7 linked regions of the Mus musculus genome follow. The protein of the gene in region 1 interacts with the protein of each later gene in a biochemical or structural test. Links are inferred from orthologs where the notes say so. Each region holds a gene or a part of one and is shown in the gene's direction. Other genes may lie near its edges. The genes, in order: Slc9a3r2, Sgk1, Tbc1d10a, Kcnj1, Pth1r, Slc9a3 and Podxl.

The links.
Region 2: the proteins of Slc9a3r2 (region 1) and Sgk1 form a complex in vitro, tested with the Homo sapiens proteins (2 studies listed by BioGRID, with this or other methods). The link is inferred for Mus musculus from reciprocal best matches to the Homo sapiens genes NHERF2 and SGK1.
Region 3: the proteins of Slc9a3r2 (region 1) and Tbc1d10a form a complex in vitro, tested with the Homo sapiens proteins (2 studies listed by IntAct, with this or other methods). The link is inferred for Mus musculus from reciprocal best matches to the Homo sapiens genes NHERF2 and TBC1D10A.
Region 4: the proteins of Slc9a3r2 (region 1) and Kcnj1 form a complex in vitro, tested with the Homo sapiens proteins (2 studies listed by BioGRID and IntAct, with this or other methods). The link is inferred for Mus musculus from reciprocal best matches to the Homo sapiens genes NHERF2 and KCNJ1.
Region 5: the proteins of Slc9a3r2 (region 1) and Pth1r interact in a test that uses a peptide from one of them, tested with the Homo sapiens proteins (2 studies listed by BioGRID and IntAct, with this or other methods). The link is inferred for Mus musculus from reciprocal best matches to the Homo sapiens genes NHERF2 and PTH1R.
Region 6: the proteins of Slc9a3r2 (region 1) and Slc9a3 form a complex in vitro, tested with the Homo sapiens proteins (2 studies listed by BioGRID and IntAct, with this or other methods). The link is inferred for Mus musculus from reciprocal best matches to the Homo sapiens genes NHERF2 and SLC9A3.
Region 7: the proteins of Slc9a3r2 (region 1) and Podxl form a complex in vitro, tested with the Homo sapiens proteins (3 studies listed by BioGRID and IntAct, with this or other methods). The link is inferred for Mus musculus from reciprocal best matches to the Homo sapiens genes NHERF2 and PODXL.

Annotation. Positions count from the first base shown.
Region 1 is NC_000083.6:24,647,253-24,651,671, reverse strand, and holds the start of Slc9a3r2 (Na(+)/H(+) exchange regulatory cofactor NHE-RF2), read left to right. Parts: upstream 1-1,366; 5' UTR 1,367-1,521; coding exon 1,522-1,734; intron 1,735-3,944; coding exon 3,945-4,145; intron 4,146-4,419.
Region 2 is NC_000076.6:21,927,123-21,931,063, forward strand, and holds part of Sgk1 (serine/threonine-protein kinase Sgk1), read left to right. Parts: intron 1-1,219; coding exon 1,220-1,429; intron 1,430-3,941. UniProt on the Homo sapiens protein: Serine/threonine-protein kinase which is involved in the regulation of a wide variety of ion channels, membrane transporters, cellular enzymes, transcription factors, neuronal excitability, cell growth, proliferation, survival, migration and apoptosis.
Region 3 is NC_000077.6:4,185,144-4,189,722, forward strand, and holds the start of Tbc1d10a (TBC1 domain family member 10A), read left to right. Parts: upstream 1-1,689; 5' UTR 1,690-1,747; coding exon 1,748-1,956; intron 1,957-4,579.
Region 4 is NC_000075.6:32,370,870-32,375,380, forward strand, and holds the start of Kcnj1 (ATP-sensitive inward rectifier potassium channel 1), read left to right. Parts: upstream 1-1,548; 5' UTR 1,549-1,744; intron 1,745-4,032; exon of another isoform or gene 4,033-4,196; intron 4,197-4,302; exon of another isoform or gene 4,303-4,511. UniProt on the Homo sapiens protein: Inward rectifier potassium channels are characterized by a greater tendency to allow potassium to flow into the cell rather than out of it.
Region 5 is NC_000075.6:110,728,995-110,732,935, reverse strand, and holds part of Pth1r (parathyroid hormone/parathyroid hormone-related peptide receptor precursor), read left to right. Parts: intron 1-1,295; coding exon 1,296-1,398; intron 1,399-3,206; coding exon 3,207-3,341; intron 3,342-3,941.
Region 6 is NC_000079.6:74,152,309-74,156,249, forward strand, and holds part of Slc9a3 (sodium/hydrogen exchanger 3 precursor), read left to right. Parts: intron 1-2,780; coding exon 2,781-2,941; intron 2,942-3,941. UniProt on the Homo sapiens protein: Plasma membrane Na(+)/H(+) antiporter. Exchanges intracellular H(+) ions for extracellular Na(+) in 1:1 stoichiometry, playing a key role in salt and fluid absorption and pH homeostasis.
Region 7 is NC_000072.6:31,560,821-31,565,321, reverse strand, and holds the start of Podxl (podocalyxin precursor), read left to right. Parts: upstream 1-1,384; 5' UTR 1,385-1,673; coding exon 1,674-1,743; intron 1,744-4,501. UniProt on the Homo sapiens protein: Involved in the regulation of both adhesion and cell morphology and cancer progression. Functions as an anti-adhesive molecule that maintains an open filtration pathway between neighboring foot processes in the podocyte by charge repulsion.

The DNA of each region.
Region 1 (4,419 bases):
CTCTTTGGATAAGCAGGCAGACAGATAGATGGAAGTGGTCAGTCAGGCCTGTGGCAGCATCAGCTAGAATCTGAAGAGAGGGCTGGAGGCAGGGAGCAACAAAGTATCCTCAGCCTAAGTGCCTTTTAGGAGCAGCAGCTAGGGTGTGGGTACCCAAGGGGCTGCTGCTGAGAGGTGGGTCCTAGTGCTTGGGTGGGGGTTGAAAGCCTCAGCTAAGGGTTCTGGAGAGAGGGGAGGGAGAGGAGAACACTGAGCTAGGACTGCTTCTCCTATCCACATGGGGAACTGTCTGAGCTGGCTGTACCTGACGCCGGGGGACCAGGTAAGTGAGGAGCTGTGGGCTGGGGAGAAGCAGGCTGTGGGTAAGCCTGGATCTCAGCTGTCTTATGTGTTGGGAGGATGCTTCAAGGTGAAAGTGCAGTCTCACAGTACTGGACTCTAGCAGAGGGTTTTCTCTAGGCCTCAGTTTCCTGATCTGTAAAATGGTCAGTTTTCTCTAGGGCTGTTTTTTGGAAAACCATATAGGAATGCATAAGGGGTTTTCAGTGGGACTATTTTCCTGTAAGAGTAGATGAGAATTTCATCAATTGTAAATCTAAGTGCATTGGGACTATAGACTTAGGAACCGGCGTTGGGAGCCCTGTGGGGCTTAATTTGGGACAGCTGATCACCACCTAGAGCTCAGGGACCAAAGTCCTCAGTACGGTTCATACTAGGTCAAGAGGAAGACAGCACACACCTCCCATTTCTGCCAGATAAACTCATGTTCCCAAAAAGCAGGGAATACAGGAGACAGGATGTTTAATGGACAAACACTTCCTGGGAAGAACAAGGGGACACCTATTTGCTGTCCTTGGTTGCCTAAAGACAAAGACCTTGGTTGCCGTGGTGTCTCTTTAAATTCTTATTCTTGCCTGTTGCTCTTTGGGTCGGGACAAGACAACTTCGGGGATCTAGAGGGAGCAGGCAGAACACTCCTGGTAGGTAGAGGGTGGGGTGCATCCCGAGGAAAGGGCGCAGTGGCCCTTGCACTTCCCCTCTGGCCTCTGTGTAGAGTGTCTCTGACAAGAGGCTTCCCATTTCTGGAACCTCTCTCACTGTACCATATGCAGGTGTCCAAAAAAGTGGTTCCTGGACAGAAGTCAAAGGTGCTGGCGCTACGGAGGGTGGCCAAAATGGGTTAAGATAGGACTCCCAGGGACTCGAGGGTTGCCTGACCAAGCAATCCCACTCCTTGGTCCTAGGGTTTCTGGGCGCCCAGGCAGGGGCCTAGCTAGCGGGGCTTGGGTTAGGGCGGGGGCAGCCAGGAGGGCGGGGAAGGGGCGGGCGCGGGGGCGGCGCTGCAGCAGGAGCAGGGGCCAGGGCCAGAGCCGAAGCCGGAGCCCGAGGCGACGCGAGCTGAGCAGGAGCCACCGAGGCCGCTGCCTGCTCTCCCGCCCGCGCCTCCGCCGCCTCCGCACTCCAGCCTGCGGGTGGTGTGAGCCGTGGCCAGTCGCGGCCGGCCAGGGGGCAGCGGGTGCCATGGCCGCGCTGGAATCGCTGCGGCCCCGCTTGTGTCGCCTGGTGCGCGGAGAGCAAGGGTACGGCTTTCACCTGCATGGCGAGAAAGGCCGCCGTGGCCAGTTCATCCGGCGCGTGGAGCCAGGCTCCCCAGCCGAGGCGGCCGCGCTGCGCGCCGGGGACCGCCTGGTTGAGGTCAACGGCGTCAACGTAGAGGGCGAGACGCATCACCAGGTGGGTCCCTGCGCTGCGCCCCGCCCCCCGGTTCCCTCCTAGGGGCGCGTCCCTACAGCGCTGGCCAAGATGCCTACGACCACCCTTCTGCGTGCCGTATGGTGGGACCCTGCAGGGGTCCCATGGGGGCCTGCTGTTTGGGTGTCGAGGTGTGGGACGTGGCCCGCCAGCTGGCCTCCTGGTGAGGAAGCTCAGTCCTGCACAAGCGGGGGAGGGAGGACATCCTGGTAGGGAGGGGCCGCACTGCGGCTACTCTGGCCAGGGCCCTGGCTGCTTCTGCTAGTTTTGGCCTCCGTGTGCCATGGAGGGGGAGGAGGTGGCTAAGGCACCTTGTGGCCTTGTGGTATAGATGCTTTTCTGTCAGTGTGTGAGTTATGTGTGTGTGCTCTCAGGTCTCTCTGGGGTCATCCATATGAATACACTACCCAAGTGTTCCAGGAGTGGATGAAAACATACTTGTGTCAGGGCTGGAATGTGTGTCTAGGGTTGTGTGGACACATCAGGCATGTGTGCTGGTCTCTCTCTCTCTCTCTCTCTCTCTCTCTCTCTCTCTCTCTCTCTCTCTCTCTCTCTGTGTGTGTGTGCATGTGAGTGTGCGTGTGCGTGCACGCGCTTGCGCCTGCTTACCTGGTTACACTAGTGTACTTTTCATGGGCTTGTGTGTCTGGATCTGGTGGAGTTGGCTCTAGTAGCAGCGATTCCTTGGGCTCAGAAAAAGCCTTTTTCTGGGCGGCTGCCTGGCCCTGTAGAGGTCACTGTATAGCCCTTGCCTGCTGCAGCAGGAGGAAGGAGGAGAGATGATCCACTGGTCTCTCTGCAGGTTCTACCTCTGGAGTGTCTGTATCCCGCTGAGGGGTAGATACAGTTAAGACCATGGTTACACTTCAGCCTCCCTCCACCTTTTCTGTTCTGGAACCCTAGTACCACTAAGTCCATGACCTATGGGAGTGGTTAGTCCTGAGGCCTGGAGAAAGCAGTGGTTCCTTGCTGGACTGAGTTGAACTTCTATCTCCCCAGCGACCAGTAGGTAGACTACAGTGACCCCTGGATTTGGTTGTGTGCTGAAGAGTTTGGGAGTGAAGCCCAGTGGTTGGCTTAAAAAGCAAGGGAGAGACTGGCAGAGTTGATGTCATATGCCTCTTGCAGTCGCTGAAATGTACCTGTTTATCCCAGGTCTCTAAAGACCTTCACCTAGAGCCACATTAAACTCCTACTGCTCAGAGAGATAGGAGCCAAAACCACGACCCCCATTCTGCTGGTAGCGACTGTGGTGACTGGCTTGGCTCCCATGGCAGAAGCATCAGAGAGCTGGCATCCCTCTGCTCTGTTGGTTATGGGGAGAGAGGATGAGCACTGAGGGGCCAGGTAGAGATGGGCCCAGGTAGGGCCTTCTTATCTGTGGTGGCATGTGCTAGAGAAGCCATCTCTTCACTCCCAGGCTGTAGGAGTGGATCTTGCACGGTCCACGGTGTCCCACACCTCACAGACACCCAGGCAGATAGACACACAGATGGCTGTAAAGCCACATCTGCTCTGCTGCTGTACCTGATGGATGTGAGCACCTTAGAATTGTCTTCACCTCTTTGCAGGTCCAGCAGGGATGGGTTTCTAGTCCTGATCTGGAGGCAAATTGAGGTTCTAGAACTTGTTGGGCATTAGATTCACACTGCATCTCCAAGAAAGAAATAAGCCCAAATACTCACACTGGGGCCAACAAAGACATTGCTCTCTCCTACCCCTGGACCAAAGAACAGACTTTAAAATACACACACACACACACACACACACACACACACACACACACACACACACACACACACAGAGAGAGAGAGAGAGAGAGAGAGAGATAAGCCTGCACACATGCATAGACCAGATTGAAATCCTGAAGCTCAACTGAACAGATTTGGACTCTCCCATCTGGCTGTTCCAAGCAGTCTTCCTGTGCTCACCTGAGCTGGGTGCAAGGCCACAAGAGAATCCTGAAGTACTTGCAGCCTGGGCCCTAGCTACAGGGAGAAGAGGGAGGGAACTGCTAGAAACTGGGGGTGGGGGGTGGAGCCTGCAGGCCTCTCAGGCCAGCTACCCACCCCTGGCAGGCCAACCCCTGCCCCTCTGTCCATGAGTCTTGGCCTAGCCGGGAGTGATGCCCTACCCATGTGCTGCCTGGGGTGTTGGCTGCTGACCGGGTCCCTGCTTCGCACCCGTTCCAGGTGGTACAGAGGATCAAGGCTGTGGAGGGGCAGACCCAGCTGCTTGTGGTGGACAAGGAGACCGATGAGGAGCTCTGCCGGCGGCAACTGACCTGCACTGAGGAGATGGCCCATCGAGGGCTTCCCCCAGCCCACAACCCCTGGGAGCCAAAGCCGGACTGGGCATGCTCGGGCAGCCTTGGCTCGGACACTGGCCAGAAGGTATGGTAGGCTGTGTCTGTGGGAACAATGAGCCTTTCCCAGAACTACAATCCCTGCCCCTTGATAACAATCTTCCTTTTGGTCACTTCTATAAGCCTCCATTTCCTCTTAGGGCTCTTTACCTACTGCAGTAACCGCTCTCTATGCTGCTGGTGAGCACTGCAGCAACTTGTCTGCCTTTGTCCCCTTTGCTGGAGGTTCCAGGGACTAAGGAGCTCTGAGAGGAGCTGCTGGGACTTTAAAGGATGCATGTCCGTGTTGGGTGTCTGTCGTC
Region 2 (3,941 bases), on another chromosome or scaffold:
GGACTGTACGTCCAGCTCAAATGTTCCTTACCCATCCTGGCCTGGAGCATCCTCAGTAGCTCAAGCTGGCTCTAAACTTCTGTGTTCCTGCCTCAGTTTCTCAAGTAGCCAAGATAGCAGGAATGAACCAATAAGCCTGGCTACTATTCTTTGTGTGTGTGTGTGTGTGTGTGTGTGTGTGTGTGTGTATTAAAAGAAAAGGCCTTATTCTAGTCTTGTCTGGCCTGGAACTCAACTATATAGACTAGGAGAGCCTTGAGCTCACAGCAATCTAAACTGTACCTCCTGAGATCTTGAATTACAGGCGCATGCCACCATCCCTGTCTACAACCTCACTAAAAAAAAAAAAAAAAAAAAAAAAAAAAAAGTGAGGTTTTATAATAGTGAAAAACACATACTTATCCTTGTCTTTTCCAAGTGCTGGAATTAAAAGTGTGCATCAGCACGCCCAAGTAACCTTAAGGTGTTAAGGTTTATTTTTGTTTCTATGTGGGAGGTAGAAGAGCTCTGAGAGCCCCCTGAATCTGAGGGTACCAGCAGCCGTGAGCCACTCAATGAATGTGGGAGCTGGGAACTGAACTCAGATTTTCTGTTGAAACAGTCCAAATTCCTAACTTGGGAGCCATCTTTCCAGTACCTGGCCTTGGGACTTCTCTTCCTCTCTATTTCCTGCTTCCCATTCCTTCGACTCCTGGACTGGATTCCTAGCTGCACACACACTTATGCAGCTACTTGTCTCTACGCCTTGCCCACCATGATGGATCCCATCTGCTTGTGCTGTAAGCCAAGATAAGCACTGCCCCTTTAAAATGATAATGACTTAAGAATAGAAACACTCTCAGACTGAGGCCCTAGCTCGGTGGTATAGTGTTTACTTAGCCTGCACGAGGTCCTGCATTCAATTCCCAGTGCTGCAAACAATAACAATAGGGCACGATGAAAATGTTGTAACTGTTACATGAGAGATGAAAGAAAATGTTGTAACTGTTACAACACAAGAGAAGTATCATTATCGTAGGCCTAGAATTGATGAGAGGCTTGGGGAGATGGAAGAACAGCCAGCATGGACCGGTTTAGAAGAGATGGATGGAAGGACTGAGAAGCTGTAAGACAAAATTTTCCTCATCGTAGTCTTTGTCTCATCAAATCTCCCAGCAGTGTGCTGTAAAGGACAACCTTAGCAAATGCCTCTCTCTGTTCTCTCCTTCTGCACTCTCAGGTACGAAGATGGATCAAGAGCCCCATGGTCAGCGTGGACAAGCATCAGAGCCCCAACTTGAAGTACACTGGCCCTGCTGGGGTGCATCTTCCCCCTGGGGAGTCAGACTTTGAGGCCATGTGTCAATCATGCCTGGGTGACCATGCTTTCCAAAGGGGGATGCTCCCTCCAGAGGAGTCCTGTTCCTGGGAGATCCAACCTGGGTGTGAAGTAAGTTCTTTATTTTGCTGAGGGCCCGCCCTTCTGGAATTGGAAACCTTTTTCTTGTGTTTGTGACAGAGGTGCCAATTTAAAAAAAGATGTATATTCATAATGCTTGTAAGTAGGAAACACAGCAGCAAGTTTTATTAGACTTTTATTTCATCTCCTTTCTTCTCTTCCTCTTTTCTTCCTTTTTTTGAATTAGGTTCTCGATATGTAATGCTGGTCTGGTCTGAAACTTGTTAGCCTCAAATTTACAGTTCTTCTTCCTCTGCCTTATGGATAAAATTGAAGGTCTGCACCACACACCTGTTATGCTTTTAAAATTATACCTATTTTGGGGGTGTACGAGTGTACATATGTGCATTTGTGTGTGTACATGCACATGTGTGTTTGTGTGGTGTGTGTGTGTGTGTGTGTGTGTGTATATGTATGTATGTATGTATGTATGTATGTACTTGCATATGCACCTTAACACACATATGGAAGTCAGAGGGTGACTTGCATAAGTTTCACTCTCTCCTTTATTATGTGGGTCCTGAGGACTCAGGTCACTGGGCCTTAACCCACAAAGCCATCTCACCAGCCTCCTGTTGTGTTATCTAATTAAAAAAAAAATCAACCTTTAATGTAGCTTGGGACTCATAGAAGTATTGTGCAGAGGTATAAAGATTTTCTATAATTTACATTTCCCTCCCCGAGCATAGCCTTCTCCATTATCAGCATCCCCAGCGGATAGATACATCATTACTCAGCACTGTAGTTTATGTTGGGACTAATGTGTCCTTGTTGGTTTGAGATGGGGACTTATTCTGTATCCTAGGTTGGCCTTACGTTCTCCATCCTCCTTCCTTAGCCTTCTGAGGACTGGGATCATACCCAGGTGCCACTCTACCCAGCTTTAGTTCATTCTTGGTGCTTTGGCAGCTGTGTAATGGTGCACAGTCAGGGGCATGTGCCATCCTGTGCCATAGCATTACTGTAGTAAAAGATGCCCCGTTCATCACTTAATCTTTCCAACTCCTATTTCTCCATGGGTTTGCTTTCCCTGCTAGGGAACTGAACCTTCTTAGAACTGCGTTAGGTTTTGTGACGCTCAACGACTGGTCATCTAGAATAGGTTCGGTGTTCAGTAATGTACATGATCAACTTTTTTTTTTAAAGATTTATTTATTGTTATATGTAAGTATACTGTAGCTGTCCTCAGACACATCAGAAGAGGGCATCAAATCTCATTATGGATGGTTGTGAGCCACCATGTGATTGCTGGGATTTGAACTCAGGACCTCTGGAAGAGCAGTCAGTGCTCTTAGCCCCATGATCAACTTGTAATGATGCACACAGTGGATTGTACTCATCACCGATAGACTTGCTGCTACCGATAATATTTAGTTCAACACAATTTGACCCACTTACAGCGTTCTCCTGTAACTCTAAAAGAATTTGGGAAGAGAGTCCTTTTCTTTTCCTTTTCTTTCCTTTCCTTTCCTTTCCTTTCCTTTCCTTTCCTTTCCTTTCCTTTCCTTTCCTTTCCTTTCCTTTCTTTTCTTTTCTCTTCTCTTCTTTTTCCTTATTTTTATTTTTGTTATTTTCAGGAAGATAAGATAACGAATTTATCACACAGCTTCTAAAATTTAAAAAATTAAGGGGTTTTATTTAAAGACTGAGGATTAAGGTAAAGCTATATTTTGAATTTGTAATTTAATTAGGTTTATATTTATTTTTATATAAGGCATTACGTATAATCTATATATTTCTTTCATTATCTCTTTTGTTTATTTGTTTTTGAGACAGGGGTTTCTCTTTGTGTAGCCCTGGCTGTCCTGGGACTCAGGCTATCAATCAGGCTGGCCTCGAACTCACAGTGCTGGGATTAAAGTGCAAACACAGCCCCACAATTAGGCTGTATTTTACTGTCAATACAGTGATAAAGAGCCCTAGGGCAGTAAGTAGTACATGTGTTTAGTCCCAGCCCTTGAGAGGCAAAGGTAGGTCAGGGCCAGGAAAAACAGTCTTTAAAAACCACCATTTCTGTAAGGTGCAACAATTGTAGGTCTTCCAGTGTGCTGTTTCAAGCCAGTACACCACCAGAGGGTTACTTCAGCATCATCCTCTTTTGAAGATGATAAGCATTTCCCAGAGACAAAGGACTCTTGTTCTAGATGTTTAAAGATTGAAAACATGGACCCAGGACATCATGCAATGTCTTCATGAAAAACTCATCCTGGTCACTTATGAGAAATGATCAAAAGATGAAGCATAGCCGAGCCTCCCACAATCTGTAAGGTTCCATGCAGAGGGTGCTCATTGTAAGAGCGCTGGTCTTCGTTGGCTTACGAACTGGCTAATCACAGGAATCAGACTCCGACTCAGCTCTGGGCTGGCCACAAAAGGCTTATTTTTTTCTGACGTTGAATGTTTTTGGCTTTACTGACACAGTCTGTGGCCTACTGAGGCATTTCTGTCTGTAGAGAAAGCTGTCATTGGATGACACAAGAAATAACAGGCCTGGCTGTGTTCT
Region 3 (4,579 bases), on another chromosome or scaffold:
GCTGCTTCTAGATATTCCAGTATCTATGATTATTAATGATTTTGTGTGTTCAGTTTTTGTTTGTTTCTTTGTTTAAGACAGGGTCTTGTCTTGCTTACCCTTTCTTTTTTGCTTTCAAGATATATCTACATTGCATACTTATTAGTGCTTTATTCTTTTCATGGCTGAATTATGTCCATTGTATGGACATACCACATTTATACACTCTTAATTGGTGAAAGTCATTTGAATATTTTTTCTTTTTCTTTTCTTTTTCTCTCTATTTGACCAGGTAGCATTATTTTCATTTTTCTTCGGTAGAATTTCCTAGGAGGAGGATGCAATGTTTGCACAACTCTGTACGGATGCTAAAGAACCATGGGACTGTACCTTTTTTTTTTTTTTTTTTTTTCGAGACAGGGTTTCTCTGTGTAGTCCTGGCTGCCCTGGAACTCACTTTGTAGACCAGGCTGGCCTCAAACTCAGAAATCTGCCTGCCTCTGCCTCCCGAGTGCTGGGATAAAAACCACCACGCCCAGCTTTGTACTTTTTTTTTTTTTTTTTTTTTTGAGATAGGATTTTTATTTGTAGCCCAGTCAGTCTGTCCGGAACTTGTAAACTGTTTTAGCCTACAGAGTACAGGCATCTGTTATCATGCCTAATTTATCTTTAATTTTTATGTATTTGTGCATGTGTAGGTGTGTCGGTGGGGTGATGGAATTTAAATATAGGAAGTATGTATATACCTTAAATAGATGGAAGTGGTGGTATGCTAACCATATTTCAATAAAACTATTGGGGAGTCAGGCAGGATAGCCCACATCTGTAATCCCAGCACTTGGGAGACAGGGAGGGCCCTAGACTACATAGTAAAGTCAAAGCCACTTTGGAGACCCTATCTCAAAGAAAAACAATACAAATCAACCCTCACCAGAAAGGTGTTGGGAAGAAAAAGGTAGAGCTTAGGTCTGATATATATATATGTGTGTGTGTGTGTGTGTGTGTGTGTGTGTGTATGTGTATATATATATATATATATATATATATATATATATAATTTGGTTTTGGGTTTTGGTTTTTCGAGACAGTGTTTCTCTGTGTAGCCCTGGCTGTCCTGGAACTAACTCTGCAGACCAGGCTGGCCTCGAACTCAGAAATTCGCCTGCCTCTGCCTCCCAAGTGCTGAGATTAAATTAAAGGCGTGAGCCATCTTGCCCGGCTGTTCTGTATTATTCTTATAGGGTCTCCCACGAGCTAATTTGCATCCCCCTAAGCAGAACAGCCAGGTGGTTCAGATCCCTAAGCCCACTTGCGTCTCATCACTGTTCTTGAAAATGACCTGGCGAAGTAGCGCTACCCACGACCCTGTTTCCCATGGAGGCAGAGACCTTAGGACCTCTAGGGAAGCCCTAGACCTTCTGCCAGAGAGCAGCAGCAGGTGACACACCAGCTCCGGGCCAACCCGGAAAAGCCAGACGAGCTAGTCCAGGTGAGTTTTTGTGATTGGCAGCCAGGGAAGGCGGGCCCTTGGTGACGGTTGTCCCGCCCCCTCACGTCGGTCCACTTGGCGCCAGGCTGGAGGAGGGGCGAGGCTCGGGACCCTCGGCACCCATTGGGCGCGTGGTGGGAGCTCCCTGGGTATCCGCCCCCAGCTTTGTGGCAGCCAATGGGCACAGTGCGTGGGAGGGGCGTCGGCAGCGTCGGCGGAGGCCGGGCGGCTCAGGCGGCTGAGGTGGCCGCTGGCGCTCTGGTGGCGGGCGCGGCCGATATGGCGAAAAGCAGCAGAGAGAATGGGCCGCGCGAGCCCGCAGCAGGCGGGAGCCTGTCTGGGACCCGGGAAAGCCTGGCCCAGGGCCCCGACGCCGCCACCGCCGACGAGCTGAGCTCGCTCGGCTCCGACTCGGAGGCCAACGGCTTCGCCGAGCGCCGCATCGACAAGTTCGGATTCATCGTGGGTTCGCAGGGCGCCGAGGGCGCGTGAGTAGCTCTGGGGTCTGGGCCGGGCGCGGGACCAGCACAGGCGTGGGCCTGACCCACCAACGTGTCTCCACTGTCCCAACCCCACAGATACGCCGCAAGCGGCAGCCTACTTTCTACCTACGAACAGAAAGGCCATTCCCTTCCTCCTGGTCTTCCCCAAACCGACTGATCCATACCCTCCAAGGAGAGTATCCCCGATGGGGGTTTCCCATCTCCAGCTCATAATCTCGCAGGTTACTCTGGCCTTAAAGCTTTGCCACCCCCTGACACGCGCACAGATGGCTGCCCCATACTTTGCCCACAGCTATTCTCCATCTCCCCCTACCCCACAGAATCCTTGTCTCGCCACCTCAGTATCGGCACCCCAGGAAATCTTAAGACTTCAGGACTCCGAGCTATTCCAGGTCGCGCTAACCCTTACCTCCAGACACATATCTCAGAAGGATTGACACTGGCCAGCCCCCTCCCAGAGGGTCCCATCTTGACTCCCAGTTTCTTTTCATCATGGAAAGGTCTCTCCTCATTACACACCCTCTGCCAAAAGGCAGCTTTGTCCATTGTCACAGGCAACAGGTGGGCCGACACTCCTTCCCAGTAGTTATAGGGCACCTCAACTCTAGGACTCCCCTGTCAGCTTCATCACAGGGGAGCCAGCCAGTAGACTCCCAGGCTGCCGTGTTTATGTCCTTCCTTCCCAAATCCAGATCTAGGACTGGAGAAGGAGGGAGACAGCACCCCACCCTTGAGCTACCAGGTACCCAGCTTTCCATTAGAGAAAGCTGAGGCAGGAGTAACACCTTCCCTCCAAGCTGAGCATGTTGGGCTACAGATTTGTACACAGCAGAACCCCTAGAAGCCCGCCCTCCCAGAGACTGCGGATGCGATCTGGTGGTCTCTTCAGGAAGATGGCCTCTAGATCCTGCTTTCATTCCACTTGTCTTGTGATAGGAGACTAGCGCCATACCCAGAACTGACAAGCCTCCCTGTCATAGTGTACCTCCCAGTTTATAGAGCCTCACAGGCACCATGGAAGCCCTACGCCAGTATATATTCTCCCTCTCCTCTGACTGATTGTGACTGCCCAGGATGTCCCCAGCTGTTCTTGGGACTTACAGAAGTGCTTGATTATCTTAAGAACCCACTCCATGAAGCTGTCCCATATAAATGTCACTTCCACCATATCACCCTCCCTCCCCAAGAGTCTCTTATTCACGAGGCCTCCTCCTCCTTAGAAGGAGAAAATTTTAAATCCAGGCCTCTGACCTATGTTTCCTCCCACCCACTGGATCTGTCTCTTCCAACCTTTCTTTCTTGCTCACATTAGACTAAGCCTGGTCCAGTTCAGAACCAGGAGAAGCCCTCATTCTCACCTTTCACCCTGTATGAGCTTGTGGGAACCTAGAGAGAGGGTTTAGGCTGTGTTTCAGTTGGGGCAAGATCATCAGGGACCCTTCCTGGGCCCTTCCTCAGGGATCAGGGGCCCAGGAAGGGTGAGGTCTTGAGGGGGTGGGAAAGGAATTCTCAGTTTTATCTGTGGGGTCTTGGACGTAACAGTCACGTTTGCTGGTAAATTCTAAAGCATGAGAACTCTTCTGTGGTTATTGGATTTTTACCCAGATTTCAGGGTGCAGGGCGATATGATAGAGTGAGGAAGGGCCAGATTTAGGGATCCTACCTGCTGGCTGTGTGACCTTGGGTAGATCTTGAGTCCCTAGCCTGTTTAGTCAAGGGAAAAAGTAGTGTGTATACCCATTGCTGCTGAGGAACATGAAACCGGATATATGGAAGCATCCCGCACCATGCCTGGCACAGGAATAGCCCAAGAAATCGCTTTCTTTCTCCTTCTAAGGGTCTGAGAAATGAAGAGAAAAATTAGGGCGTACCTCTGGTATTTGTGGGAAGAGACGCAATGGGAGCACCTCCCTTTGGCTCTCATCCCAAAAATCTCAGCCTGCTGTTCATCTTCTCCACCTTCCAATAGCACACTTAGGATACAACCCCACAGGTGCCCTCCACGTCTCTGATGTCTGTTAGGCCAAGTCTGAAGTGAGACCCTAGATCTGTTTCTGTCTCCCTGCCTCGTTTCCTTCAGCTTGTCCATTAGCAAAATCTCTGGTATCAGAGAACTTGGATCTTCCTTGTTTAGTTTATACTGTGTTTTGAAAAAAGCCAAAAGTAAGTCCCTGCCCAAGGCCATACGAGGGGAAGTTTGTGACCGCCCTGAACCTAGTCTCGTGGTTGAGGGCTAGGAGTACATGTGCTATCCCAGAGAAGTGAAACATTAGCACAAATGGCCTGCAGAATCCGGATGGAGACTCTGTCTCCAGATTAAAGGTCTGTTTCAGACATCGGGGGCCAAAGGTTGTCCCAGCACAGGTCAGTTTTGGTGGTTGTCAAGGTCTGTGGGAATAGGAAAGAAAACAGAGGCTTCCTCACTCTGGTGTCTGTTGCATACTGGCCTAAAGTATATCATAAAATTGTGAGCTGAGCTGGAATAGATCTTAAGAGATTGACTAGTATAGCCTTTATATAGAAGATAAACAGAGGCCAGAGAAGCAAAAACTTGCTTAAGATCACATAGCATATTACATACATAAGATCACATAGCATATTACATACA
Region 4 (4,511 bases), on another chromosome or scaffold:
TCTAGTCTACGTGTTCAAGATAGGTCCTTCAACATTGTGTCTTTACATGGTAGAAGGCAGAAAGGCTGGAAGCTGATGGATACTCTGTCCTTACAGCAGCAGAGAATAAATATATCCACTCCACCAAGCCTCTCTACAAAGGCCAGGATACCATCCTTGATGGCTTTGCCCTCATGACTTCACCACCCCTTACAGGGTCGACCTTTTAAGATGATCACATTATCAAATACATCTCAACATGTAAGACAACAATGATCTACTGCATTCTTCTTCCTTGCCTATGACATGAGCTGGTCGTATAAGTATTTGAAGCCCTGATACCCTTCACTCAAGCATTTCTGGATCAATTTCCATTTCATCTCTGCTGTAAATAGCATCATGTGTTGGTTCTGCTCTATAAGGCAGTTTCTGTGTGACTTTTCCTGGGGACACGAACAAAAGTCTGTTCAACCCTGAAAGGACACTGGTGAGCACAATTCCACCCAAGTCTAACTTGGTGAAGCAATGTGGGCATTGGGGTTGTTTATAGGAGGGTAGATGGAGCTTACTTATAGATGCATAGGTGCCTCAGGGAACTGCATTACCCAAAGCCCACTCTAACAACATTGACAGCTTGTCACTGACATCAGCATGATAAAAGCTACATCCCCAAAGAGTCTCCTGTCCTCTAGCAGTTGTTTCCCATCTACAAAGTTCTGAGGAGGGGCCTTGTGAGTCTTATAATTCTCTTGTGAGCTTTGTGAGCATCTATTGTCCTTCTCAGTGGAATGTTTCAATATGGAAGAAATGGCTATACAAGTATCTATGGTGTCAGAGCCGCTGGCACAGCCATCTCCAAGCTGAGGTGCTTCTCGGCCCTTCTGCTTGGTTCCTTGGTTCCACTCCCGAGTTGAGGCTGGTGTTTCCTTGTTGTCAGGTAATGAGACAGTGCGTAGACGGCCACTGTTTCTCCTGCACGATGGCGGCTTTCCCACGCTTCTGATGGTGATCAATGGTGATGTAAGTGTTCTGAGAGGACATTATAACCCAAAGGAGCTCCTAGAACAACAACTTAGAAGGGGTCTAGGATCAGATGTCAGTCGGGGTGACTAAAGAGAGCAGAAACACTTATACCAAGGCACTTCCTGCATTATCTTACTTCACAGTACAGACTTCTTAGGTCAGGCAGCACTAGGTTACTTGCCTGGGGCAGAAGTTGGTGGATAGGGTCTCAACCCTACTGATCGATCTCCTTAAGAGTCTGTGCTATAAAGTGCTATAAAGACCAACATTGCTTTATACCCATAGTGATGAAGAAGGACCATTGGAAGGTCAGGTTAGCCCAACCTCCTAGGACACTGAGTGATTCTGGACCTTGTATATTCACTTATGTGATATGGACACTATCACACAAGAAGGCCTTCCTCTGGTTCCAAGCCCTGGCTCTATAAACCAGTCTCTCTTAATTATCTTGGCAGCCTAACACCTTCGGTGTATCTCAATCATTTAAGGCCACGCCTACTCTTGTTGGATCCGGTTATAAAGTAAACCATGTTCTTTGAGAACTGCTGCATATAGATGAGTCAGGAGCCAGTCAAAGCTGACCCACAGACATAAAACCCAAGGTACTGGGCACCTTTAGCTGGGGCATCCAAACTCTCGAATCAAAGGTGCAAGGGACTTTCTCACATCAAGCACCTGACTGCTCTCTTGGGGACCAAGAAAATGAACGTTTGTCTCCACGTTTACCCCAGCAATCCATGAGGTAAGAGGACACACATCTCATTGCCCTTCTGTTGAAATACTAGTTAATTCTCATGCAAGCTTAGCCTCCTTTTTTCCCTACCTGTAACCGAGACAGATTTGTCCCTCCCCACCCGAGGGATAAGAGTGTGGTTTTAAATCACCTCTCGCCTGGGATCTGCTGGTTGCAGGTGGATTAGTAGAAGGATTACACATTCTGCCTACCCTCGGCCACTTCACAGCTCCGAGGCTGGAAGCCTGTGTGAGCTTGATTGCATCACTCCAGTGCAATGTCTTCTCTTGGCTGCAGGATGAGCATGGGGCTGCCTCTGAGCACCCTGAAAGCAGCATCTTGTTTAATAGTAGAACCTCCCTCAGACCTTCTCTGCCTTGAAAGGCAGAGGATAAAGGTGCTATTGAAGTCTAGTGTAGCCAAGGCAAGTTACAAGCTCTATGACATCTTGTCTCAGGCAAGTGCTCGGTTTCCCTACGTAACACTTGGTGGCCTTTTGTACCATTTCCACTGCAGGCATTTAGATCTGTCGTTATCTGTTCTGCTCCCTAAATATTGTTCTGACAAATGTTCTGGGTGGTAACGATGCCAACTGGTTCTCTACACTCTGACAGGCATGGGGCTCCTTCTCCAAATATCTGTCTCTAACAGATTCTGTTCATAGCTACCCAAAAGAAGGTGGCCGTCTATAATCAACATTTAGGCAAAGGGCAACTTACAACTCTTAGAACAGAACACAGTGAGTATGGAAGGAAGTGAAGGTAGGCAAGGGTTTTCCAGACACGTCAGTGCTAGAGAAGTGCCCAGTACCGAGGTGTTGGGGTTCCTCATTGGCCCTCTTCTCTGTTCTACTTGATATTTTATGTGAACGTGTTCCCACTGGTCAATCAACTGCTGCTTTTCAAGTCACAATGAGATAGGATTATCTGGGGAAATAGCAGTCGTTCCAAGTTTTTTTTTTTTTTTTCCCTCCCATTTTCTTTTCTCCGACACTCATTTCATGGAGATGGGTTTCCTTCTACACAAGGAAGTGATCAAGTCCTTTCAGGCTGAAGATTGAACTTGTAAAGAAGCAGAGAGCACAAATTGCTCATGACAGAGTCTTGGACTTCTGATGCTGTTGGTGGCTTTTGGTTTGCTTTGTCTGACTCTTAAAAGCAGTCACCGTGTGAGCTGCTCAGCACGGCCACACATGCCCTGCTCTGGAGAGATGAATCGGAGTCCCCCATGCATGTCCCTTGCCTTTGCTCCGCCAGGTGTTTCTGGTACTAGGTTACAAATCTATCTTGGGCCTTTTCTTGGCCTGGTGACTTCCCGCAGACCCAGCTGTGACTCACATGTTTTGCTTTTCTCTGCTTAAGGATTTCCATGGACAGATGGCTTCCCAAGCTCTCTTTCCAGAACTTTCTCTGGGATGACTTCTATGTCCCAGCACTTTGATCCTCCCGGAACCCACACTGGAGTTCTCTTTCTCTATAATCAAGCATGCTTTCGATGACACGTGTCTTTCCTTTGTTCTTACACTCATTAACATTATGCCTGCTGTCCTTTACATCTTCCTATGTGTTCCCACAAGTGTGCAATAAGCAAACTTAGAATGTTCTGGGAACCATGCTAGGTCCTGGGACAACACTGCGTGGCCAGATAAATGCATGTCATGGCAGTATTGGTGTGGTGGCCTGGCATTTCCAGTCTAGGCTCATTGTGTGGTGTGTGTGGCCTGGGGTTTCCACAGAGCCGGGCACTCGCGGAATCATGGCCGAGTGCGGGTGAAGCATGCTGTACTTTGTTAATAGAAGACTTCAAAAATAGCATTATCCTAAAAGCCTTAGGTAGATAGGATGGTACCTGATCGGGGCATGAGAAAGAATATTCCAGAATAGGAAAATATTGTTCACAAAGGCATGTAGGCATGATACATGCAGGGTGCATTAAGCCAGTGGTAGCAGGGTGGGGGTGAGAGTGGATGTGTAATATAAGACAAGAGAAGCCACGGGGTTTGTGGGACAGAAGGCCTCACAAGAGGTGATAGGTTAAGAGCTTAGTCTGTTTGTGGAAAGAAGACTGAGTGCAAGGTGGCCTGGGAAAGAGGCCCCTGAGGGGTTGAATCCTTGAGATCTAGCTGCTGACCGGCTCGAGCAGGGGACAGGGAAGAAGGAAAGCTGGAGACCTGGCAAGGATGAAACATCAGGCTTTGAATGGCAACGAGCATTTTCCTTCCACTTAATCTTCATACCTCCACCTGGGCTGCAGCTTCAGAGAGATGAAGTGAGAGACATGTTGGGCAGTGGACTCACCTTGCAGATAGGTGCCTCTTGTCTTATCCGCATCTCTGAAATGCGCAGTTGTCTGGGGAGAAGTTGTAGCCGGTCTCTTTTCTCCTGGGCGCTTCAGGCTGAAGTGAGGCATTGTGGTGGATGTAGAGTCAGTTTGGCTTCAGAGGACTAATCCCTCGGTGGCACTGTAGGACACAGCAGTGAGTTAATGCAACAGTCTGAGGTTGAGACAATGCCAGGACGCACAGCACAATTGCTGAATGATAGAGGCTCTTCTGTTACTAAACCTACCTACTCCAACCAAGTGAGTGTTCCAAGCACTTCTTCCTCCCAGGAATGATGCTGCTTAGGTCCCCTCAGCATCGTGGTCAAAGGAGGCTGAGGTAATATCTCTTGAGCTTTTCCTGCTTGGGGGCATGGAGCTTGATGGTGTTGGCACGGTCTGCTGTGTACGGAGACGAGGCTGTTAAGCCGACTCCCTCAGGTCCTCACTAACCTTC
Region 5 (3,941 bases), on another chromosome or scaffold:
AAGACGCTAGCGCGCCTCCGCTAAGTAAAACCAGCAAAACTCTGCGGAGCCAATTGGAGACTCCTTGGCCTGAAAGCCGGAGCAGCTGCCGCCAAGAGACGCGGTCAATTAACTTCTCCCTTCAGCCGGGCTCCCTGACCCGGGCCGCCCGCCCCCTCCCGCCGGCCCGCCCCTAACCTGACCCGCCTCCTTCCTTCCAGGCCTCCAAGTTCTCTGCCTCTCGTAGCTCCACCCTTACTAAAGAGACCCGCCTACATGGCCAGGCATGGGCTGGCAGAGCTGTCGGTTCAGGGTGATCAGGCTGTGTTCTTTGGAGTTTAAGGAAGAGGTAGGCTTTCTAGGGGAGTCATGAGGTCTGAGGTACATGGCTCTGACTGCCCCGGGCTGTCCCAGAGTATCCCACCCGGTACTCCTTCCAGGCAAGATGCTGGCCCCTGCTTCCAAGTCAGGGGAGACTCAGATCTCCTCCAGCAGCCACCATCTCAGAAAGAGACTCTCCCTGACCCCTTGCACTATTCTCTCTTCCGGGGTTAAAATGATGTTGCTGGGTCCCCGTGGGTGTACAGAGTGGAGAGAGGACATTCTTTCAGAGAGGTCAGCAGGAGCAAAGGCCTGTGCTGAGTTACACATGTCCTCCGCAGCATCTGCTAGGATGGAGGAACTTCCAGTGGGATGAAGGGCTCCTAGGACTGCGCCGAGCTGCATGTGGGGGTGCAGCCCAGCCCACTGCTTCTCCATTTTCCCTCTTTGGGGCTCTCAGTAGGAAGGGTGAGACTCTGACCCTTCACTGGGAAAAGCACCGGCTGACCACTGGGTCAGCATGGAAAATGGTGGCTGTCATGGTCCCCGGGGGCCTTGAAACTTGAAGGAATCCAGGCTGGATTTATCTCCTCAGAGTTCAGCACTCCTGATCTAACCCTGGATCACCAGCAGGCAGTCAGGACCCTGTGAGGCTCCATCCTGGGACATTCCACCATTCCCATACACCCCCCCCTGGGGGGGGGGTTACTAGACAAAGAATGCCAGTGGATGCTGGGTTACTGCTGGACAGACAGACAAGACAGCTTCAATTCTTTTCTCCTCCCTGCAAGGGGGCAGGTCCTAGCCATTGAGTTACCGTGGCTTCAAACTTTAAAAGGGAGGCTCTGGAAGGCAGATGCTCTCCCCGACTCCCCACATTCTCTCTGAAGGGATCACTTTTCGAAAGGGGGGAAATCCCTGGGGAGGTTGCATGAGTTTGGAACCAGCTGCCTCACCTGGAAGTGCTGCCTACAGTCTGACCTTTGGTTTGGCAGGTGGACGCAGACGATGTCTTTACCAAAGAGGAACAGATTTTCCTGCTGCACCGTGCCCAGGCGCAATGTGACAAGCTGCTCAAGGAAGTTCTGCACACAGCAGGTGGGGGTGGGGTCAGCATGTGAAAAGGGTGGGAGTCTAGGAAGCGGGGGACAATCGGGTGAAGGAGTTGGAGGCATTAACCTTGGGTGGGCTCAAGAAAGGGAGACCCAGCCAGAGTAAAGGCCTAAAAGAGATGGATCGGGCAAGGGTGAAGTCAACAGGCTCAGGCGATCCTTACCTTCCGGGACTCGGGAAAGTGCTGTCTGCCCACCGGAGCTCTCAGACCCAGGCATGGCCATGTGGGGGCTGGGGAGGGGGAGAGAGACAAGAGCCTTTGGAAAACTTGCTGAAAGATGTGTGGGTCTCCCTTTGCAGATGGAGAAGGCAGACAAAGCACGGGGTCCCAGTGGATTTAGATGGGGTTGGGCAAGCCAGGGACTTTGCTGAGGGCGCTGGTCCAAACAGGGTGGGCTGGGCCAACTTCCTTAAAGAGAAGATTAGCCATGCCATGCCTGGAAGGATGGGAAGCTCCTGCATAGAACCAGCATCCCTAGAACTAGATGGGACAGGGATGTGTGTGTCACTCAGCCGATAGCCTGGACAGAGGGCGTTGGACCGCGCGTGTGTGCGCGCACACACACACACAGCATCTCTAAGGGACCTTGGCCATGGGTAAGGAGGGCATCTCCCATCTTGGGTCTCCTCTCTGCCCCCTTCCGTGAGTCTCTTTCCTGGAAGCAGGTATGGGCTACATTGGCATTCATCCAGGCTTCTGAGGTCTGGCCAATCTCATCACCCTTGCTTACTGTCTGTCCTTCCAGAGCAGCTTTCTCTCTGGAGCTGGCTCTCGGGTTACTGGGGGCTGGGAGTAGAGCATACCCAGGACACAAGCAAATGGTGACAGATTCTCTATGAAGCAAGAGGACTTTGTTCACATTTGTAAAAACTTCCTCTGCAGACCAAGCTCCACCTATCCTGGCCCACCTGTCACACAGAGGGTAGGGACAGATGAACACCTCATATGATCCTAAATGGGGCCCTCTTCCTAGTTGTGGAACCCACAGTTTGGGTACATCTCTGGCTCCTCATCTATCACAGAACCCCTCCCTGAGCGAGAATGCTGTCAGTCATTGTCACCCCAGTCCCCATTGTCAGTCATTGTCAGTCATTGTCACCCCAGTACAGGTTGCCTGGACTCAGCTTCCCACGGACCCCAACGTAGGAGGGTGCCCAAGGTACCCCAGCTTGGGTTACAGCTGAAGTCACACAAGTCAGATAGTGAGGACTTTCTGGCTAAGGACAGAAGCCTCCAGTGTCTTTTCAAGGAGGACAGGTCAGGCCCCAGCTCAGGTGGTGTCTTCAGGGGCTCTTGTAGAAGCTGCAAGCCCCTGACCCGAGTATCTTCGGGCAGAGGGTGGAGAAGGTGGGCTCGTGTGTCCACTCCTAACACAATGCACTCTTTACTCCTGGCTGTGTCACCCACACAGCAGGCTAGCCCGACTTGGTTATCACCTTTACCTCCATCCACCTCTCCCAGTTTCTGCCATGCGCCCTCTGGCGGGCTGTTTCCTCCATCGAGGCTTTGCCTCCTGGCCTGCCATCCTTTCCACTTCCCAGGTGACCCCACCTCATATGTCAGTCACCCCCTTTGAACCTCTGCCAACCACATCTGTTTCCTGGTTGCTTCTCCACCTAGCAAACACCCCCGGGTCACTTGCTTGTCCTCCCTAATCTTCCAGCAGCCTGAGTGTCAGCATCCTTGATAGGATCAACTCATTGTAAAAAGGGGGAGCCGGTGAGGGGCCGGGCAGTAACCAGGGCTGTGGTTACAGCACAGCCGATGGCTAGAACCACCCCCATTTCTCCAGCCAACATAATGGAGTCAGACAAAGGGTGGACGCCAGCATCTACGTCAGGGAAGCCCAGGAAAGAGAAGGCACCGGGAAAGTTCTACCCCGAGTCTAAAGAGAACAAGGATGTGCCCACCGGCAGCAGGCGCCGAGGTATGTCTGTCCATCTTGTGCCCTACCCCTCCTTAGGCAGTCATTTGACCAGGCTCAGATCCACCTGTCTCCACCAATGTGAGTTCCTACAGAAAGTCAGAGACCACAGCTCCCTTCCCAGAAAAGCAGGCCAGGAGGCATCACGCATAGGGGTGGGGAGTCAGGTGAGTTGGGAGGCCTTGGCATACAAGAAAGTGTGCAGAACGGATGCACTGACTCCCCAGAGAAGGACCCAGAGCTGCAGGAAACCCGTGATCCACTGAGGTAAAGAGAGAGGACAGAGTCCTGAGAGACTAGTCAGGGAGAGATGTAGAGAGACAGAGAAGGGAACAAGACGCTCAACCCAGAAGTCTGGTATGTCAAAGGAAGTACAGAAAGACACATAGTGGGAAGACCCATAGACACAGCAAGAGATGAGGGCAGCCTCAGAAGGGTGGAGGCAGACAGTGGGACAAGGAGAGAAGAGGAGAGAGGGAAACAGGGTTGCCTCGGGGAGGTGAGGAGAGACAAACACAGAGCCCAAGCTGTGGCCACAAGGCCAGTTAGAGCCAGCAGGGTGGGCAGCAGATTCCAGATGGGCCACATCTGGGAGCCTGTGGT
Region 6 (3,941 bases), on another chromosome or scaffold:
ATGTCTGGGATCCACACGTGATCTTCTGAGCTCCACTAAAGGGTTTTGGTCACATCTCCAGCTCTGCTTTCTACATCACTAGGCTCTGGTTGACTCCACTCCACTGCTGCAGCTGCTCTTGGTGGTCATCCCATGGTATTGCCATTTTCAACACACTGGGGTCTTCTGCTGTAACTAGGCTTCACCAATAAATATTCTCTCAGAAGCTCTCTTCATGGTGCCAAGCCTCAGCTTCTTTGCAGTCCTGGGATGTCAACTGCATCTGAGGCCGCACCTTCAACAATGGCCTTTCACAGTGTCAAGCCTCAGCTGTTCTCCATGACCCCTTCATACCTTCAAAACCAGTACCATCTGGGTGAATCTTATTATTACCAAGTCTAGATGCCAGCATGGTGTCTATCTCTGGAACACAGCTTCTTTGTGCTCTCAGAAAACATTTCCCAGACAATTTTACCTCAGTGATTCTGGTCTCTTCTTAATCACTGCTAATTTCTTAGCTTCAGCCAACCAGCATCAATTGTCCCAGTAACCCCTTCTACACTTGACTCTAAAGCCAGAGTCATGTGACTGAAGAAGCTGAATTCTTCTGCTTGCTGTGGCTGGAACATGGCCCACTTGTTCTATTACATCATCGTCAGCTTTCTGTTTTCGATGACTTTCTTCACTACCTAAGCTTGGCTGTCCTGGAACTTGCTCTATAAACTAACTTTAGCATGCCTCTGTCTCCTGAGTGCTGGGATTAAAGGGATATACCACCATGCTTGGACCTTTCTTTACCTTTCACAGGGTCTTTATAATTTGTGGGTTGTACTTCATCCCAGATATAACCAAGCTGACAATCAAGAACAACCATCACAATCCCATGCTGAATCTTTGTCCAGCTGTGAGACAGTAGGTGATGCCTAAACAGATGGAAGTAGATGCTCACAGGAGGACTCGGAGTCAGGATGTTCCCTTTGGAACACTCATTAAGTGAATGAGGCCTTTGAAATCCTGGAGACCAAGGAGAAACAGGAAACAGTAAAACCAGGAACTATCAACTAGTATGTGTAAAAAGGTCCAATCTATAATTAGCTTCCTTGAGACATCTGTAAGCTAAAACTTTTGTGCCATGTTCATAACAGATTCGTGGCCGCACAGATCAGCAGGGTGGGTAGGTGTGCATAGGCAGCTGTTCTAACTCTTATCATAGTTGCCAGAATGGTGTAACCAGCTGGTCAACCCCCACGGGAGAAGGAGATGAAAGTGAAATGCTCTTAGTCGCATGATGAATTACAGAGTTGAGCACCTCAAACCTCTAGAGTGGTTTGGTGCTGTTTCTGCTCATGTACACTAGCAACTTATTGGGAACTTATTATTTTAGGGAGACCCCTTTTAGTCCCTTATTGTCTGCATCACTAGATAAAGACCTCAACGGTGAAGGCTTGCCTGGCTTCTAAAACTATAGGCATCCTGCCCGAGGGTGGGTACTATTGGTCACATTGGTGATGCCATAAGGTGATTGGAACATATCTAAGATAGCTGGACCTAGAGAAATGTCTTGAGATAGGGGACAGGGGCTTGTGGATCTGATACCGACAGCTACTCAAGGGACATACTGGCCCTCACTTGATGGCCCTGTCAGCCATAAGATTCCAGCATGTGATATTCCTGGGGTTGTTTTTAGGGTAAATGGAAAACCCTGTAACAGACTGACTTATGGTGTAAGTATAGAGCTTTAAATACAGTTCACTGGACCTTAGCAAGTATTCTTATATGGGAAATCACATGCTTATCAAATTCTAGAACATTTTAATCTCCAGAAACATCTAGGCCCACCTTCCTACTATGTCATAGTCATGAAGAATCATTATACCATAGTGTCTTTTAATAACCAGTATTGCTATACATCACTGTCTGCAGTTAGGGTCACTCTCCCATGATAGATATGGGATGTTGGCTTGTGCTTCATCTTTGAGACCTAGCTGGTCAAAGCTGACCAGAAAGATTATCCTCATCCAATGAGCTCTCTTTTCTATGTGACTTTGGCTGCTGGTATAGCCACATTTGCCTAGGCAGTGGTCAGACTCTGTGGACAGTAGTTCAAGGCTGGGGCTCACCCTGAGAGGGTCAGCTAAGTTCCACACAAATGTGTGTATACTGTCTAGGCTGGAAAGTCAGTCCTGATTCAGTGGACTATACATCTTCTGGGATCCAGCTTGGTTTTTGGAATGCACTTTAGGTCTGTAAAGATTCTAGACCAAGAAGCTGGCTCCGCTAAGGCATTTCAAGGCTATCTATCCCAGAAGGTAGTTTACTCTGGAAAGCTTGGCAGGGCTTATATGGTGTGGCAGTTTAGTGTGTGGTCCACTTCTAAATGGAGACTTCAGAGAGCTCTGGTACTGGCTGGAGGCAGCAGAGTTTAGTAATCACTGACATATGGGGCTCAAGTCACTACAAAGACCACCTTGTCCAGTGCCCTCTACTTCCTGGGGCACATTGGCTGCCTGAGATTCTTCCTAATGATCATTCTTTGGCCTCAAGGGATGGCAAGATCTATCCCAGCTCAGAAAAGAGAAGGAAGCGCCACATGGGGGGACTGTGTAGTCTTACATATTTTGGGGGTGTCTGGCTGTGAGCTCCAGTCTCTGACATCCTCTTTGTCACTGGGTAGCCCTGGGAAGAGTTGTTCCTAGCCTTTATTCCTGATGACTCTGATCATCCAGGGACCTGAGAGATGTGGGATTTGGAGAGAAAGAGCCAAGTGGCTAGCCCATGTCCATGGTCTACATCTCTTGCAGGTGAACTGAAAATTGGACTCCTGGATTTCTTGCTGTTTGGTAGCCTCATTGCAGCTGTGGACCCAGTGGCTGTGCTGGCTGTGTTTGAGGAAGTCCATGTCAATGAAGTCCTCTTCATCATTGTCTTTGGGGAGTCACTGCTGAATGATGCAGTGACTGTGGTGAGTGATGGTGGGGTCCCTGGAGTAGCTACAGAACATTTCACTTGCATGGAGGTTTTAGGATACCTTGCCAAGTGCTCGTTACCAATATGCTTCAGATAGAAAGAGGGCCACTATCTGAACATGGTCTCCTTTTAAGCTATGTTTTTAATCTAAGATGTCCAACTCCTGCAGGGTATGTCTATCACCTGCTCCTTTTTATTGGTTCAGCAATCTTGGGGTATGAGTTAGGGGTTGGGGAGACAGAGGCTTTGATCTTCTTCTGGCTCCCTAACTCTGCTTCATCCAATTTCTCTATTTTACAATTTTAGGCCCATTCATTACCACCTTTGGCAGTAATGCTGCCCTATTGAAATCTCTATATCCACATCCCCCAGAGCAGAGGTCTATAACTTTGGACCCACACTTGATATTACCCACTATTTCCAAAGAAACAGACAGGTAAATAAACAAACAACAAAGTCCTACAGGAATTGCGTTAATCCCATGGGCCCACCAAAACAAAATACTTCAGAAGCCCGTGGCTTAAACAGTAAGAGTTTATTGTCTCAATGCTGAAGGCTGGAAGCTGAGAGCCAAGCATGGCAGCTGGCTCTGGAGGCCCTTTTCCTTAGCCCACAGATGCTATCTTCTGCCTGTGTGCTCACATGGTCATCTCTCTGTGTGTTTATGATCTGCGCTCTTCTTATACATCATTTCTTATACATTCTCATGCATACCCTATTGATCACTTTTATCCTTAACTACTCTCTTTGAAGACGTCCTACCAAACAGCTTCACTCTGAGGTCTTGAGGTCAGGAGTCATCACGTAAGTGGAGGGAACACATTCAACTCCTCCCTGATGGCTTCTCAGACCCATGCAGTGGAGTAGGCATAAGGTCTCCACAAAGATGAGATTGCATTCATCCTGGCAGTGAGAAGCAGGTACACGAAACATGAGCACTGCTGCTACTTTAGTGCAGCCCTGAGGAGATTTCAAAACCTGTCCCCAGATGGACT
Region 7 (4,501 bases), on another chromosome or scaffold:
AGGCTCATCTGACAGAAAGACTCCGGATTAGCAACCCAGGAGTCATGTGTGACAAATTTTCACCATATCCTTTCCGTGTCAGCCTCCCCTCCCCCTTCAGCTTTGTATCCCGAGATGAGAGTGCCACCTCTGCAGGGGACTCCACTGAGTCTGCAGCCCGCAAAGCCTCCCCGCCTCCCCAAACGAATAGGATGCGAGCTTCTTTGTCCTTTCACAGAGTAAACTCGGGTTTATGAGATTCTCCATTTATGAGATTCTCCAATTCCGATCTCCCACCTCAGGTCTATGGGTTTCTCACGAGCGAAAGCTGCTTCTTTCATTAAGGCTGTTCAAGGTTCTGGCCCTACGCTAAGTGCGTCTCCCAAGCAAGTGTCTCAGCAGCTGTTGGAAGTGTTGTTAGCCTTGTTCTTCGTATGTAAAGAATCAAAGCACTCAGAGTGAGTTAGCCCAACTAGGTTTTGAGCCCAGGTTGGATTTGACGCCGAGGCCCTTAAATCTCCATTGCTGCTTTTTATTCAGCAATATTATTTCTTATGGCTCAATTACAGTATTACGGGCTCTGTGCAAAGTATTTTTCCAGATTAATCTCAGAAGTAAGGCTGCTATTTACCACCTAAGGGATCTTAAACAACTTTTTAAACTATTTTTTTAACTCTATTTTTCTGTCTGCAAAACGAGGCTTAAAAATGTGACTGCCGTGAAGAGCAAGCGAATTAATACGTGCAAAGCACTTAGAACACAGACGCGCACGAATTAAGCGCTGAAATTTTTGCCTTAAAAGAGTCGCATCCATTTGTACATCGGTGGGAGAGGTTAAAAACAAAAACAAAAACAAAAACAAAAACAAAAACCCGTCCAGATGGTACGGGGCTCATCCCGGAGGACAGACTTGGGGACTGCACGAGATCCAGGCACCTGCTGGGCAGGGGACCTGCTTCCCTTGTTCTGCCGCAGGAAGGCGCTGAGGTCTGGGGGCCTGGAAGGGTCGGTTCTTATCGGAACTTCCAGACTGGGGGGGCCTGTGCCTGCGTTGTAAGGGCGGTAGCATTATGGAGGATCCGGGCTGATCCCCTGCAAAAGCAATGTGTAGGACATCCGCGGCATGGATTGATTGTCTGACAGGGTCCCTGGCGCGCGCGCAGGCAAGTATACACAGCGTGAGCACAGATTCACAGGCACACACACACACACACACACACACACACACACACACACACACACACACTCACTCACACACGCACTGCCCGGGACCGCCAGCCCCTGCTCCCCCGCCCGCCGCGCTCCAGGGCGGAGTTTCCTCCTCTGCTTATTGTTCGCAGCCCAGCGCCCGCCCAGCCGCCGCCCCGCCCGACCCCGCCGCCGCTGTGGGCGAGCTCCTGGGGGAGGGGGCGGAGGCCAGCGCGGACGGGACGGGGCGGGAGTCTTCGCAGCAACGTGCGCGGGGCCGCAGCGGCGCAGACACCGCCCGGGCCGCAGACACCTTCGCTCGTCGCTGCTGGCTCCGTGTCCCAGCCCAGCTCTGCGGTAGGCAGGAGGAGCGGCCGGATCGCGACTCCGGAGTTCGCGGCCGTCGCCAGGCCTCCCGGAGCGGCGCCGACGCTCCCGCTGTCCGGACGCGCGACCCTGCGCCAGCGCCGCAGCCACCTGCTCGGAGTCCCCGGGCGAGCACAACCATGCCTCCCACTACGGCGCTCTCCGCGCTGCTGCTGCTGCTACTGTCGCCTGCATCTCACTCCCATAATGGTGAGTGGACAGCCGCGGCTCTGCCGGGACCCCTGGTCATTCCCCTCCGCCCCAAGCCTGGTGGGGCTCCTGGGAAGCCGGCTGCACCGCGTGGTCGGACCGCTTGCAGCCTCTCCCGCGTGGCCGCACGCAGAGTCCTGACCTTGGCACCATCCACGCCCCCTCCAAATTGGAGAACCCCGCAGGTGCGGGGCCAGATCGTGGATTTATTCCTAGTCTTCACTGGTGTAGAGTGAGCCGGAGGTTGTGAGATTGTAAAGGGGGCACTTGGTGGGTTCGCTGGAGATGGGGGGGAAACTTTGGGTTGTGGGGAGGTCCCAGATTCCCGCATGACCACCAGAATGCGATTTCTCTTTCTCGTGTTTGGGGCTACTAGGGGACCGTATTGGGAGGTCGTTGAAACTAAGCAAAGCCGCGGGCAGGGACCACAAGAAGGAGCCCCTGAAACTGACCTCAAATCCCTAAATGCCCACGCGTGTAGCGTACTTCTTGTGCAAGCGCTTTTTCTTAAGCTTGTCCCGGGACGGGTGGAATAAGCGCTCCTTCCAGGGTCCCAGAGCCTGGTTCAGTGGGGTCCTTGCCTTCATGTTGCCAAAGGACCGGATTCTTTCTCAGAGCATGGCCAGGATGGTGGGCCCCTCCCACCCCTTTGTGTAAACAAGAAATTTCTTTCACAAATGAGGTTTGAGTTGTGTCTTAGTAATACCTCGGGCACCCATCTCCCATCAGACCCAGCTTGGAGACGATCCCACTACCTTCTTTCTGAAGGTGGAATGTTACTTTCTGTTTGAGAGGTCAGGCAGTGTCTGCAAACATAACCAGAGCAGGTGTCCCAAAGTCCCTGCCAAACAGCTGAGAGACTCAGCCCAGGAGAGAGAGGCAGGTTTCATAAACGGAGTAGCCTATCTTGAGCAGGTAGCTGCAGGGAGAAAGTAGCGAAGGGAGGCTTTCCAGAGTCGGAAGTACAGTGGTGACCGCCCAAGCGGGGAAGGGACTCTGCTGCTGTGGGAGTTAGTGTTGGGGGAACAGGATTCTGCAGAACAATGAGAGATGAGATGGTAGGGTGGCGAGGGCTGGTCCTCAGGGAATGGAGGTTTAAACCTCCGGAGGGTGGCCTGGGACTCCAACGGGACCTGGAAGGGAAGAGTACTCCCATTGGGGGAAGGGCCTGTGCTCCTTGAGGAGGGGTGCAGTTCGAGGAAGATGGGAAGAGCTTGGAGGGCCACAGTCTAACAAGGACCGACAAGTCTGTAGAGTGCCCTGGCAACTTCATGGTCTTCACATGCAGTCTTTTGGAGGGGGAGCCCCTAGTACCATTCAAAAGCCAGATGAGCTAGTTAGTCCACAGTGATTCCAATCTTATAGAAGCCAAGCTTGGAGAAGATACAGGCTAAAGGGAGATCCCTGGAAGCCATCAGTGAACTGCTCCCAACCGGGTCCCTGGACATCAAGGTTGGGCTTCTTCTTCTTCTTCTTCTTCTTTTTTTTTTTTTTTTTTTTTTTTTTTTTTGGCCTTTTTGAGATAGGGTTTCTCTGTATAGTCTTGGCTGTCCTGGAACTCACTTTGTAGACCAGGGTGGCCTCAAACTCAGAAATCCGCCTGCCTCTGCCTCCTGAGTGCTGGGATTAAAGGCGTGCACCACCACGCCCCGGCAAGGTTGGGTTTCTTGTCTGGCACCTGACAACTGCCTAGGAATGATGCCTGCTGAGGGGCCCTGTCCAGACTCTACCACAGGGACAGCTCATAGTCAGAGATCAATATGCTCGAACAAATGTGTCCAGAAACCTGGCCTTGTTCCAAACAGCAAGTCTCTTAGCACCACTGAGCCCTGGATACCGAAATCCTGAAATGTCATTTTCACAGTATGTGGCAATATAGAGACGTTCTTTGACAGTGTTTGGTGGCGAGGAGGAATGGTTACACTGATGACGAGGACAGCAAATTGATTATGATGACGATGATGATGGTGAATTGTATCCAGGTCAAAAAAGGCTTAGGGGGCAAACCTGGGTTTGGGTTGTGGTGGTTTTACACCCTCCTCTAGGCCTGTCATCAGCCATATCTCCCCACCCCCACCCCCACCCCCACCCCCCAGCACCACCTCAACTGGTGGAATTCTATGATGAGATGCAAAACTGTAGGCTTCCAGTGCAAGTCTCTGTAACAAAGGGATTATCCCAACAGGTCTCCTGCTTTCCTCCTAAGCTGGTGGTTTGAGCTCACCCTGGAGGTAAACAGCCTTTATATCCTGGGGTCCTTCCTGGGCTTTTCCTTTGCCACAGGGCAAGTCAGACCTTTGCTCTCCACTTTCCTTTCTGTAAAGTAGGGTGGAGGAACAGAGGGACCTCTGTTTTCACTGTTGTGGATGTCTTGACTTCCATGTTCCTTGGCTGTTGAAAAGAGAGACTGATTTAGGCCTCTCTGGATGATAGCCTTTTGAGGGATGAAACCTGGGCAGGAGACAGGTGGGTTGGCATGGTGGAAACTCTCTGACTGGGCCCCACACTTGCATGTCTGTGGACTTTTCAAGCCTAGGCTTCCTACTGAAGTGATCACAAACCTGCTTCATAGGTTGTCTTTCATCTGATGAACAATGGTAAGGGTAACAGATTTAACATTGTAGCCAAAGCACGGATGTCAGCAGCTGCGTGGTACTGCCGTGAATTGAATGGGTGTATTGGGCACTTGATAGGCTTGAGACATCCTGAACATCGGGATTCTGCTGCTGTTGGTGGTCGTGGACGAGTGACTTGCTTC